Saccharomyces cerevisiae S288C: one gene and its partners. The gene in region 1 interacts genetically with each later gene. Each region holds a gene or a part of one and is shown in the gene's direction. Other genes may lie near its edges. The genes, in order: FMS1, FRM2, YLR046C and GRE1.

Region 1 (3,777 bases):
TAGAGGAAAATTTATTCAAATACGCTTATTTAATAATCAACACGCTGACCTTTGAGTGGGAATCATTCGAACTAATACAATCGTGGCTTTTGATAACCTTCTATTTCAGAACCTGTTACAGACAGACGGCGTGCTGGAACGCGTTAAGTCAAGCGGTGAACATGTGTAATGGGATGAGTCTATATTTAAACAAATTTCCTGAGATCCATTCCACTTATGATGAATCAAAAGCATGGCATTGTTTCTGGTGTTGTTTTATAATGGATAAGTTGATAAGTTTTCAAATGGGTCGATTCTACCAACTATCATTACCCGCGAGCGAGATGTGCGAACAGATGAATCTAGTGAAGTCAAAGAAATTTTTACAAGAAGAAGATGATTGGTTTCACGAAGAGACTTTTCAAATGCTTGATTTGTCCATAATAGTGACACAGTTTTTAAAAAGAGACGCACAGGATTTAAATTTGAACGAGACCGTGCAATTGCGCAGCCAACTTGGTCAATGGTATGACACCTTTATAGTTGGAAGTCAAACCAATGCGTACGACGACAATTATCGTTACTTCTATCAAGTTCAACCATTCATGACATACCTGGATATAAGGCTGACTTTCGAAGTAAGACAATTATTTTGTCTAATCGCCCCCTCATCTACCGCAAATAATAAATCCCTAGAATATGTCGTCGATACTGAATTGTTAATTTCTCATTGTCAAATGGCTATTGAAAATTTGGCTGAAATTACGAGAAGTAATCTTTTCTTTGTTCCGTGGTGGTTAAACCTTTCTCAACTATTCACGGTAAATTTAATATGTATTATCTACCTGCACGCAGGGATTGCCGTAACTCAAAATAAAGCTATCATGCAAAGCTGCCAAGAAATATGGCGAACCTTAGAGTGCTCTAAGCCAAAAAATCGGCCTTCAATGCTTCCTGAGTGCTTGTGGTGTTTGAAAATGCTGAATCATATGTTCTGCATACGACTGAGAGATTCTGCTTTGCAATTGGAAGCTACTCTCGGAACTGATCATGGTGATGACACCCCTAATAGAAATAAGTTTGAGCAGTTCAAGAAAGTTGGCGATAATGATGCGGATGTTGAAGTTGATGCTGGTGAAAGAGAAGAAAATGCTGATGAAAGACAAGAAAATCCACATAACAATAGCAAAAGAGTACCATTAGCTACTAGGTCTCATAATACCACTAACTTCGACGGTTCAATCGCAATTTCTCCGGAAAGTGCAGTAGCAAATCTAGGTACTGATACTGGATTGCCCTCAGATGTTCTTGATACTGTCAGTAAAATAGGGAACTCTCCTAATGTGTTTGATGATGATTTATTTTCCAATTTATTATGGTTTGACCAAAATTTTGCATAAGGATTCTTTTTCTATTCCATAAAACCATTTTATGGACACGTTTACCTACATATTATTATATTGTATATAAGATGTTGAAAAAATTGAGTCAACCTCACCTTACCACATGTTGGTCCGTTGCTATGACAAACTCTCGTTTTACAAGAAGGAGGCTCAAATTTCGGGTCACCCACCCATATACGGATGTCACGCTATGAGATCTTTTAAACAATAGACAATTTTTGGTATCCTAAAGATATAAAAGAGGAGTTTTTTTAAACCATGGTAACTATTTTCAAATTTGCTCTGCTGCAGTTTTTTATTTCTGTTTTTCTTTTTTTGTTCCCAACAAGAAGTGAGTTAATAAAGGCAAAAACAGTGGTCGTGTGAGAATGAATACAGTTTCACCAGCCAAAAAAAAGGTTATTATAATTGGTGCCGGTATTGCTGGGCTTAAAGCTGCATCTACGCTACACCAAAACGGTATTCAAGATTGTCTTGTTCTTGAGGCCAGAGATCGGGTCGGTGGTAGGTTGCAAACTGTCACAGGCTATCAAGGTCGGAAATATGATATAGGTGCTAGCTGGCACCATGATACGTTGACAAACCCTTTATTTTTGGAAGAGGCTCAACTGAGTTTGAATGATGGGAGAACGAGGTTTGTTTTTGATGACGATAATTTTATTTATATCGACGAAGAACGTGGAAGGGTAGACCATGACAAGGAACTGCTTCTTGAAATTGTGGACAATGAAATGAGCAAATTCGCAGAGTTAGAATTCCATCAACACTTAGGAGTTTCAGATTGCTCCTTTTTTCAATTAGTAATGAAATACTTACTACAAAGACGCCAATTTCTCACAAATGACCAAATAAGATATTTGCCACAACTCTGTCGATATCTGGAATTGTGGCACGGCTTAGATTGGAAGCTTTTGAGTGCCAAGGATACATACTTCGGTCACCAAGGAAGGAACGCCTTTGCTTTGAACTATGATTCTGTGGTTCAAAGAATTGCTCAAAGCTTTCCTCAAAATTGGTTAAAGCTAAGTTGTGAAGTGAAATCAATTACACGAGAACCTTCAAAAAATGTGACAGTGAACTGTGAAGATGGTACTGTGTACAATGCTGATTATGTTATTATTACAGTACCTCAAAGTGTATTGAATTTGTCTGTACAACCTGAAAAAAATTTACGGGGAAGAATAGAATTTCAACCACCCTTGAAACCAGTGATTCAAGATGCTTTTGACAAGATCCATTTTGGAGCGCTAGGTAAAGTAATTTTTGAGTTTGAAGAATGTTGTTGGTCGAACGAAAGTTCAAAAATTGTAACTTTGGCTAACTCTACCAATGAATTTGTCGAAATAGTACGTAATGCGGAAAATTTAGATGAATTAGACTCTATGCTAGAAAGGGAAGATTCTCAAAAGCATACGAGTGTTACTTGTTGGAGCCAGCCTTTATTTTTCGTAAATTTGTCAAAAAGCACAGGAGTAGCAAGCTTTATGATGTTGATGCAGGCACCGCTTACAAATCACATAGAATCCATTAGAGAAGATAAAGAGCGTCTTTTTAGTTTTTTCCAACCTGTGCTGAACAAGATTATGAAGTGTCTAGATTCTGAGGATGTCATCGACGGAATGAGGCCGATAGAAAACATTGCAAACGCTAATAAACCAGTCTTAAGAAACATCATCGTTAGCAACTGGACACGCGATCCTTACTCACGCGGTGCTTATTCGGCCTGTTTTCCAGGAGATGATCCAGTTGATATGGTTGTTGCAATGTCTAATGGTCAAGACTCCCGCATAAGATTTGCAGGCGAACATACTATCATGGACGGCGCCGGCTGTGCCTATGGTGCTTGGGAAAGCGGAAGACGGGAGGCGACTCGAATCTCTGACTTACTGAAATAGAATCTATTTTTTCGAAATTACTTACACTTTTGACGGCTAGAAAAGGATATACATACATATTAAAATTTTTAGTAACACTCTGTGCTTTTTCAAAAATTTGAGGTACACCTAATTCTCCCACTTGTTGCTTATACCAAGTTTGAACAATTTTAATGTTAAGCACAATAGATTGGAATATTATCATATGGTGGTTCAGAGAGTAGTAGGGTGCATTTTCATTCCTGTTGCCTCAATGTGTTTTCTATCTGTATTTACGTGATTTTATGAAGTGGTGGCATCGCTTAGATGTGGTGCATAATTAGAGACTAATTTTTGAAACCACGCATGAATGTCAAGTAATTCTAACTGAGCATCTGTCATCAATGGCACTTGCAACTTCAAAAAATCCCACCAATATTTTGACGGCACCAATTTACCTTTGAATTTTATTTGAGTTTTCCTTGTTAATCTTGCATTCAGAATTCCATAGAAAAAGAATTTTTCAAATGGAATTATATTTG
Region 2 (2,681 bases), on another chromosome or scaffold:
ATTCCAGGTGCGGCCAAACAAATGATCTACAGAATCTTATTCCTATTCTTGGCTACCATTATTCTACTGGGTTTCTTGGTGCCATACAATTCCGATCAATTATTGGGTTCTACCGGTGGTGGTACTAAAGCCTCGCCATATGTCATTGCTGTTGCATCCCACGGTGTCCGTGTCGTCCCACACTTCATTAACGCCGTTATTCTACTTTCCGTGCTGTCCATGGCTAACTCCTCCTTCTACTCCAGTGCTCGTTTATTTTTAACTCTATCCGAGCAAGGTTACGCTCCTAAGGTTTTCTCCTACATCGACAGAGCCGGTAGACCATTGATTGCCATGGGTGTTTCTGCATTGTTTGCCGTTATTGCCTTCTGTGCTGCATCTCCCAAGGAAGAACAAGTTTTCACTTGGTTATTGGCCATTTCTGGTTTGTCTCAGCTTTTCACATGGACTGCCATTTGTTTATCCCATCTTAGATTTAGAAGAGCCATGAAAGTCCAAGGGAGATCTCTTGGAGAATTGGGTTTCAAATCTCAAACTGGTGTTTGGGGATCTGCCTACGCTTGCATTATGATGATTTTAATTCTTATTGCCCAATTTTGGGTCGCTATCGCCCCCATTGGTGAAGGTAAGCTGGATGCACAAGCCTTTTTCGAAAACTACTTGGCTATGCCAATCTTGATTGCACTTTATGTCGGCTACAAGGTCTGGCACAAGGATTGGAAACTGTTCATCAGGGCAGACAAGATCGACCTAGATTCTCATAGACAAATCTTTGATGAAGAATTAATCAAGCAAGAAGACGAAGAATATAGGGAACGTTTGAGGAACGGACCTTATTGGAAAAGGGTCGTTGCCTTCTGGTGTTAAAAAAAAAAGCATTTACTTCTTTTATATTTATTCATTTTTGTACTTCTGTTTTGTAGTAATAGCATACGTGTAATGATAGACGATTTTCATTTTAATTCTAGTCCTTTATGAGCGAAGAAAAAAAATAAAAAGCACTAACGATTGCGTGATGGAAGTGGAGAGGAAAATATAAGTGAAATAATATGAAGTGAGAGAAAAATGATTTCCTTTTGTTCTTAATGCAACAGAAGAGGTTTGATTTCATCCGCATATGCAATTTTGCCTTAGTAGGGGTGCAACCGTTTTCGTCGTGCATCAGGAACGATCTTCTTGCCTTTTTTAAAAATCTACGTTAAGAATTTTTAATTTTGTTAAGGTGTAATTAGCATTAGAATGACTGAAGCATTCAGTTTAACCAACTTGTTCTGCGATATTTTTACTTCTGAAATAACAATGTCTGCGAGTGTTACTTGATTATTAATCAATATTTGTCAATGCTCTTCCGAATAATTTTTCAATTTGTCAGCTTTGCTCTGCGCTTTTCCTTACTGCGACAATAAATGGCAAAGGAAAAAAAAATACAGTGTCATTTGCAGATATGACACACTTTAACACCTGAGTGGGTCATCACTACTTTGTGTTTGTCTCCACCCATGTTGTGATCGAAGAGAGATATAAAGGTTGATCATTTTTGGTTTTTTAAAGCTATATACACCATCAAAATCAAGAACACCAGACCTCCAAGCCAAAGAAATGTCCCCAACTGGAAACTACTTAAACGCTATTACAAACCGTCGTACCATCTACAATTTGAAGCCCGAATTACCACAAGGTGTCGGTTTGGATGATGTAAAGAGAACTGTACACGTTATTCTCAAGAATACGCCAACAGCTTTTAACTCACAAGTGAATCGCGCTGTCATTATCGTTGGTGATACACACAAAAGGATATGGGATGCTGTTGCGAGCGCAATGCCAACTGCTGAAGCCAAGAAGAGACCAGAGTCTTGCAGAGATGAGGCTTACGGTTCAGTCATTTTCTTCACTGATGAAGGACCAACTGAAAAACTGCAAAGAGATTTTCCAGCCTTGGCAGCCGCTTTCCCAACATGCGCCGCTCATACGACCGGTGCTGTGCAAATTCAGTCTTGGACTGCCCTCGAACTATTGGGATTGGGGGCTAATTTGCAACACTATAATGACTACGTCAAATCTGCTTTGCCTCAAGATGTTCCTATTGCGTGGACTGTACAATCTCAATTGGTCTTTGGTGTTCCAACTGCCTTGCCAGAAGAAAAGACTTTTATCAATAACGTAATCAACGTTTATCACTGAACAGGAAATTCGCATATGAGGAGATCTTAATTTATCTCATGAAGTAATGATACCTCAGCGATGTGCTCGCTCGTTAGTATGCTTCATAAATTCATTATTATTTTTTTTTGGAAGTGTTTTTCGACAAAAGTTGCATTTTTACGAAGGATATGTAAACTCAAGAAGTACTAAATAAATATAAATACAATTCGAAAATTTGAAAAAAGTAGGAGACAACACTTTCCTTCCTCACGAAGAAGTTAAGCTTGGGTTTGTGACTTACTAACGTCAACGTACAATCGCGTTACAAACAAGATGCTTGCATTCTTACCTTACATTACAAGGACTTAGACGAAGAAAAAGTTCAGAAACACTGCTTACACTATTCACCAGACCCGCTCCTTCTCCTAACATCAATAACGAACAGCACTATTGATGTAAGAACGTCTTAGCTTAGTAATAAAGCTCTACCTTGTTATCGTACAATAATCCAGTATACCGCTTTTACTAATGATTATTCG
Region 3 (3,039 bases), on another chromosome or scaffold:
AGCCCATCCTACCAGGAGGGCATCTAAGGATCAACATTTACCATAGAAATTTTTTAAGGAGGTTTTTCTCCCATTTGATACCCTTCCAACATCCTTTTACTATTGCTAGTATTCCAAGTGATAATTTGGTCAGGTTAATTATTAGAAACGGGCATTTTCCATTGCGTACAAATGAAAAGTATTACATTACAGGGGCTTTTGAACCTGAGTTGAGTTTCATTTCTAAACCTACTGTTCCTTTTAATATTACCACGAAATCTTCCAAGAATCCATTTCGAAACAATTCTTCTGCACTAATAAATTCGCCTTTAAATTTTCTAATTAAAGCGCAAAGAGTGTTTATGTGTGTTGGAGGTTCAGGAATTTCCTTTGGCTTACCACTACTTCGTATTCTAAACTTCAACGGTGTAAACGTTAGGCTCCTTTGGGTTTCTAGAGATTATAAGGATCTGGAAGTATTGAACCACTTCAAAAACAATTTTGAAGGTATGGAGATATATATTAGTGGCACCGAAGGCAACGAACAGGACATAGAAATTGATTATATTGACTATCATGACTGCGCTGCTGATATTAATGATGAAGTCAGGAGTATTTCTTCGAGCGGCCGAGTTTCAGAACTGGGAGATAATTCCATGTTATCAGATGGAAATCCCCAACCTACGGAGCCCAATGAGAACACAGCCCTTCTAAGTAAGAAATCTACCTTGAGAAACCATCACCCACCAAAAACAAGTGATATACCTGACATCAATGCTGATGACGAGATAGATTTTACATATGCTTTTAGCAGATCCAAATCAAGGAAAAATACTGCACAAGGAACTCTAACTACACATTCTTCGTTTAACGGATCGAGCGTTTTCAGACAACCAAAGATCATTGAGCCACCTGCCCAAGATCCTTGTTTAGAGGCGGCGCCTAAAAAGATCAGAATTCCCGCAGGTGTTAAAGTGTTCTTTGGCAGGCCTACACTTGGAGATAAGGATTATGAATGGTGTCTGCAAACCGAATGTGATGCAGAGACGGATTCTATTCAATGTTGCAGGTGGGCGAATCAAGGCAGAGACCATGCTGAATATTTGTCACAAGTATGGGTTCTCGCTGCAGGCCCTAGAGGCTTAATTGAAAGCACCAAAAGATGGGCGACAGATGGTGGTTTACACTTTCACGGAGAAAGTTTTGCATTATAAGAGTTGCAAGTTGGCTATTAGTTTATGAGGCTTGGAAAATTCACGTATTTGATGGTGGCATATCTATAATGTCCCGTTTTGCTCTTTAATCTTACTGTCAAAAAAGGGCCCTATGTACGATCTTTTCTAACTGATTTTTTCCGAGAAAAGTTCCGCAGGCTGATTTAGTTTTTTTCTGGTGGTTGTCAAGCCTCTCTCCACTTGGTGATAGTTGCGAAAAATGACAGCGGATATTAATGGATATTAGCGGGAATAAGCACATTTCCATATTGATTATTTGTATGTCTAGCAACTTATAAGATGAATTATAAAAGGCATATAAGTTCTTCTTGGTACTGAATACATGACACTCTCACTACTGTACTAGAGACTTATTGTCGATAAAAGAACTCAACTGCCTCAATAGGAATTTTTTTACTAAAGCAATCACTGATTATGAAGGTTTTTATGCATACAATCCTCACAAAGGTGCAGCGATTGCATTTGTCGTTCTGTTTGGCATTTTAATCCTTTCTGCCTTGGTGCAGATCATAATGGCAACACACACGAGCAAGAGACGTATTCATCGCTGGGAAAACAATGAGTTGTCAGAGGAAAATTCCACAATAATATACTTTCCTGCCCGCGGTTTGATGTGGACACATTTTCCTTTCGTTTTAGGGATTTGTTTAGAGTTCGTGGGTTATGTGTTGAAAATAGTCTTTATCAATAGCCCCTCGATTTCGACTTTCATTGCTCAATCGGTGCTTCTATTGATAGCACCTTCACTTTACGCCCTTAGTATTTTTATGTTGTTCAGCAAAATGGCACGTCTAATTCTTATGGAGGCATATATGTTAATTCCTGCGAAATTTAGTACAGTTTCTTTCGTAGTGGCAGATATGATTGGGCGTGTCCTACAGGCTGTAGGAGGTGGGTTGTTATCCTCATGGAACAGCAGGAATACTGGGCGTATCCTAATTATTGTGGGTCTTTTCATTCAGATATTTTGTTATACCTTTTTAACGTTCAGTCAACTTTTTCTTCACTATAAAATGAAGGCAACGCCTAGTAAAATTGTGCGGGATAGTAATGAATGGTTCCAGTACAATTTTATACTTTTAGCTGGGATATTGCTGGTTAATGGTAGAACCATTGTCAGAGTAGTACAATTTCTAATGGGCTTACAAAGCTATATAGGTCAGCACGAATGGTGCCTTTACGTTTTCGATACAGTTCTAATGTTTTTACTACCTTTGATTTTCCTAGCAACCTTTCGCGCAAGAAATTTGTTCAAGCTGCAGGATAAATCTGTCAATATTCAATTAAACAAATTATTAGACAAGGAATCTGTGTCTGAAGATTAAGTAGTCAAAAATTTATTAATTAAATAGTTGGATAATATTTGTGCTGGGCATTAGAAGTCAATCTTGTCTTTTCCTTTATATGGTGCAAAGATTATCATGGTTAACGAATCTATTTTTTTTCGTGTCGTTTTTGTTTTTGTTTTTGTTTTTGTTTTGTCTGCTTGACACTCCATAGGAAGAGTAAATGAAGAACCTACCAGACCTAGGGACCAAATAGCATTACTAAACTACAAAGAAACAGCTATCTTTACAGTGTAAAGTATTTTTGAGTTTTTATTAAAGAGTTTGAAGTTGACTATGTCAGGAGAAGAAGAAGTAGATTATACAACGTTACCCCTAGAAGAGCGATTAACGTACAAGTTATGGAAGGCACGTTTAGAAGCTTATAAGGAGTTAAACCAGCTTTTTAGAAACTCCGTTGGCGACATCAGTAGGGATGACAACATACAAATTTACTGGAGGGATCCTACATTATTTGCACAATATATAACTGATTCTAA
Region 4 (2,886 bases), on another chromosome or scaffold:
CCTGCTCATCAATCTTCGTCTCAGTGTCAGGAAAAAAATCCCTTTTGAATATATTAAAGTCGGGTTTCCCCTCAAATTGGGTCCCCCCAGCAAACAATTCCTCAATGCAATAATCTGATAGTTGGATCAACCCTTTCAAGTCGTGCCGCCATCTGAATAGGTTGAAGTTACCCAAGCGGATCCAGCTGGGCGCAAAACGGCATACAACAGCGCACGGTTCTTGATTGCGCCTTTGCGCCTTCGTCCCCGGTAACAGAGTTAATTGCATAGCTCTTGTGGATGGAATTCCAATACTGTGCAACGCCTCGCTCATTATGAATTCACGTATGCTTGATCTTAACACAGCTTTCCCATCTGCAAACCGAGAAAATGGCGTCATACCGGCACCTTTCAACTGAAACGTTTGCCATTGTCCGCTACACTTGTCCTTAAGATCAAACAAGTTTACCACACGTCCGTCTCCCAGCTGTGCAGCAAATGAGCCGAATTGAAATCCGGAGTACACTGTACTATAGGGAAAGATACTATCGGAATAATATACTTTCTCACCGGATAGTATTTTCTCCAAGTCCTGATCCTGCACCAAATTAAACTCATCAAGTGCGTTTTGCGAAAGCAGTAATGGCTTGTAATGTGGTTTCTTAGTGGGCAAACAAAATGCAAAATGAGCCCCCTGCGAAACCATCCGAGGCGTATGGAAAAGCTTTAATCTCACGGGATCCGTTGCATTGTACTGCTGCACGACGTTTATTGCCTCTTGTATGGACGACAGGGAAGTATCTGCGGTCAACTTCTTGATGAAGTGGGACGCTGCAGAGTTTTTCAGCGCTTTGATTATTGTCCTTTTTTCCCCCATGATTGTGTTACACGCTCTATCTTCTTTCTCACACCTTCCTTCTTCTACTTCCGGAGTATAGTCTCTAGCTTATCCTTGATGGCTCTTTTTATGCAGGCAGAATAATTACAGTGACGTATTTGTGGCTTCTTTGGCACAACGTTTTGTTCCACGATCACCTCATATCACCGTTAAGTTCTTCATCGTCCAATTCCGGAGTTCCCCGTCAGCCGTGCGACCATGTGGTATTTCACCCGAATAATTAAGGGAAAACAGAAGGAGAATTACGTATCTTAAAGGAGCTAGACTCTTTGCCTCATTGAGGCTTTCTATACATCGGGTCCCCATGTATGGTCCGTTCCATAGTCGAAGCATCCTTAATTTCCTGTGACATTACAGTAGTTTCGCCGTAGAGCCTTTCACGGGAAGAATATGTTCAGTGGTTCCAGGTATGGGTTTGAGGATGTTCTTGTAAGGTGTGTAGATCCCATCTTTTTTAGGGATCACAAAGGGAAAATAACTACACAGCATGTGGTGGTACAGATGAGGTCAATGGCAGTTTTGCCTTAGTTGTAAGTAATTAACCAATCCTTGTCGTGCTTCTCATGAATGTGTATGAATTTATGTTCATCAGAATATCCCTCTTTAACCACAGTTCTTGCGTAAAGCATAGTCTGGCTTCCTTTAGAAAAAGGAAATGTGGTAATTCTAGGACCACGTTTTGGGCTTCGTCATTTCTTTTCACTCCTCCACTTTTATGACATTTGATCGCAAGTTCCTCCATACATCATGCCTAGTAATCAAAACAAATAACGCACAAGGGAGTAAAGGGAAATGGTTAGAAAAGACCGAAATCCTTTTTTTGGTCTCCGTTACGTGCTTGTTAATCAGGCTCCCTTGAAGCAGTCAATATTTCTTGGACTATAAAAGCACATTACTATTTCATCAAAAAAAGGATACATACCTACCCTCAACTCTTAATATCTACTAGCAGCAGAGCCAAACACTACCGCATAAAAGCTAAGTACGAATAACAATTAAGAAATGTCCAATCTATTAAACAAGTTTGCTGATAAGTTGCACGGCAACGATCATGATGAACGTTACGAAGACGACAATGACGACCAGACTAGACAACAGCGTCATGAAAAACATCAACAGAGGGAATTCAGGAATCAAGGATCCAAGGCCGATCCCTACGGCGAAGAAAACCAAGGGAATTTCCCTCAACGCCAGCAGCCACAGTCTAATCTAGGCGGTAACACGCAGTTTGGCGGTAACGACTTCCAGCAACAAACTACTGACTACACTGCCGGCACTGGTGGTGGCACTTATACCCAAACTTACCGCGAAACTAACACTCAAGGTCAGTTGGACGACGATGAAGACGATGACTTCTTGACTTCGGGCCAACAGCAAAAACAAGGTCGTACAAGAGGTGCTCAAAGTAACCGCTACCAATCCTCTAATATCGGCAGCGGTAGACGCGATCTGTCTGGGTCAGGAAACGATGAATATGATGATGATAGTGGGAACCAAGGCGTCTGGTAGATGCGGTGGTCGAAGCTTCTATTACATGCCTGAGGTGCGGGTCTCACCCTTGAGCAGCAAGTGAGAAATTTTACCCTAATTTCGTCTTCTTTTTTCTTTTTTCTTCATCTGGACCTATTATTGGTCATGATGCCACTTTTTACAAACTATTTCATATGTTTAATCTAGTTTATTTAGATCTACAGCTGTCAGTTTATACGTTTTTATTAATGTCAGTTTGATTTGATTAGTAGTGACCTTTTTCGTCGAGGTATGCCGTTTCACGGACCTCCAGATCCAGGTGTATAACAATAGAATTATGGGAAAACGGGGTGGGAAGGTCGTTGTCTAACTCAAACCTCCTGGAATTAGCGGGTAAAGTGTCGTTATTGTGCTGGGCAACAACTTTTTTTTACGATTTCTTTTTACCTCTCATCTAGGTTAGTGTTAGTTGTAAAAACCCGAGCAGATTGGTGCCTTTTCAAGTGCGTTCTTACAACCATACTTTTTTATTCTAGAAC

The links.
Region 2: mutations in FMS1 (region 1) and FRM2 together harm fitness more than expected from each alone (negative genetic interaction), as found in Saccharomyces cerevisiae (one large-scale study listed by BioGRID).
Region 3: mutations in FMS1 (region 1) and YLR046C together harm fitness more than expected from each alone (negative genetic interaction), as found in Saccharomyces cerevisiae (2 studies listed by BioGRID).
Region 4: mutations in FMS1 (region 1) and GRE1 together harm fitness more than expected from each alone (negative genetic interaction), as found in Saccharomyces cerevisiae (one large-scale study listed by BioGRID).

Annotation. Positions count from the first base shown.
Region 1 is NC_001145.3:313,627-317,403, forward strand, and holds FMS1 (polyamine oxidase), read left to right. Parts: upstream 1-1,750; coding exon 1,751-3,277; downstream 3,278-3,777. Other genes in the region: STB4 (Stb4p), read left to right, coding at 1-1,379; MAC1 (Mac1p), read right to left, coding at 3,539-3,777. UniProt on the Saccharomyces cerevisiae protein: Involved in the production of beta-alanine, a precursor of pantothenic acid. Multicopy suppressor of fenpropimorph resistance.
Region 2 is NC_001135.5:74,204-76,884, reverse strand, and holds FRM2 (type II nitroreductase), read left to right. Parts: upstream 1-1,599; coding exon 1,600-2,181; downstream 2,182-2,681. Other genes in the region: amino acid transporter AGP1, read left to right, coding at 1-867. UniProt on the Saccharomyces cerevisiae protein: Type II nitroreductase, able to reduce 4-nitroquinoline N-oxide (4-NQO) into 4-aminoquinoline-N-oxide (4-AQO) via 4-hydroxyaminoquinoline (4-HAQO), using NADH as reductant. involved in the oxidative stress response.
Region 3 is NC_001144.5:237,501-240,539, reverse strand, and holds YLR046C (uncharacterized protein), read left to right. Parts: upstream 1-1,726; coding exon 1,727-2,539; downstream 2,540-3,039. Other genes in the region: FRE8 (putative ferric-chelate reductase), read left to right, coding at 1-1,193; STU2 (Stu2p), read left to right, coding at 2,837-3,039.
Region 4 is NC_001148.4:128,132-131,017, reverse strand, and holds GRE1 (Gre1p), read left to right. Parts: upstream 1-1,879; coding exon 1,880-2,386; downstream 2,387-2,886. Other genes in the region: FMP40 (Fmp40p), read right to left, coding at 1-856.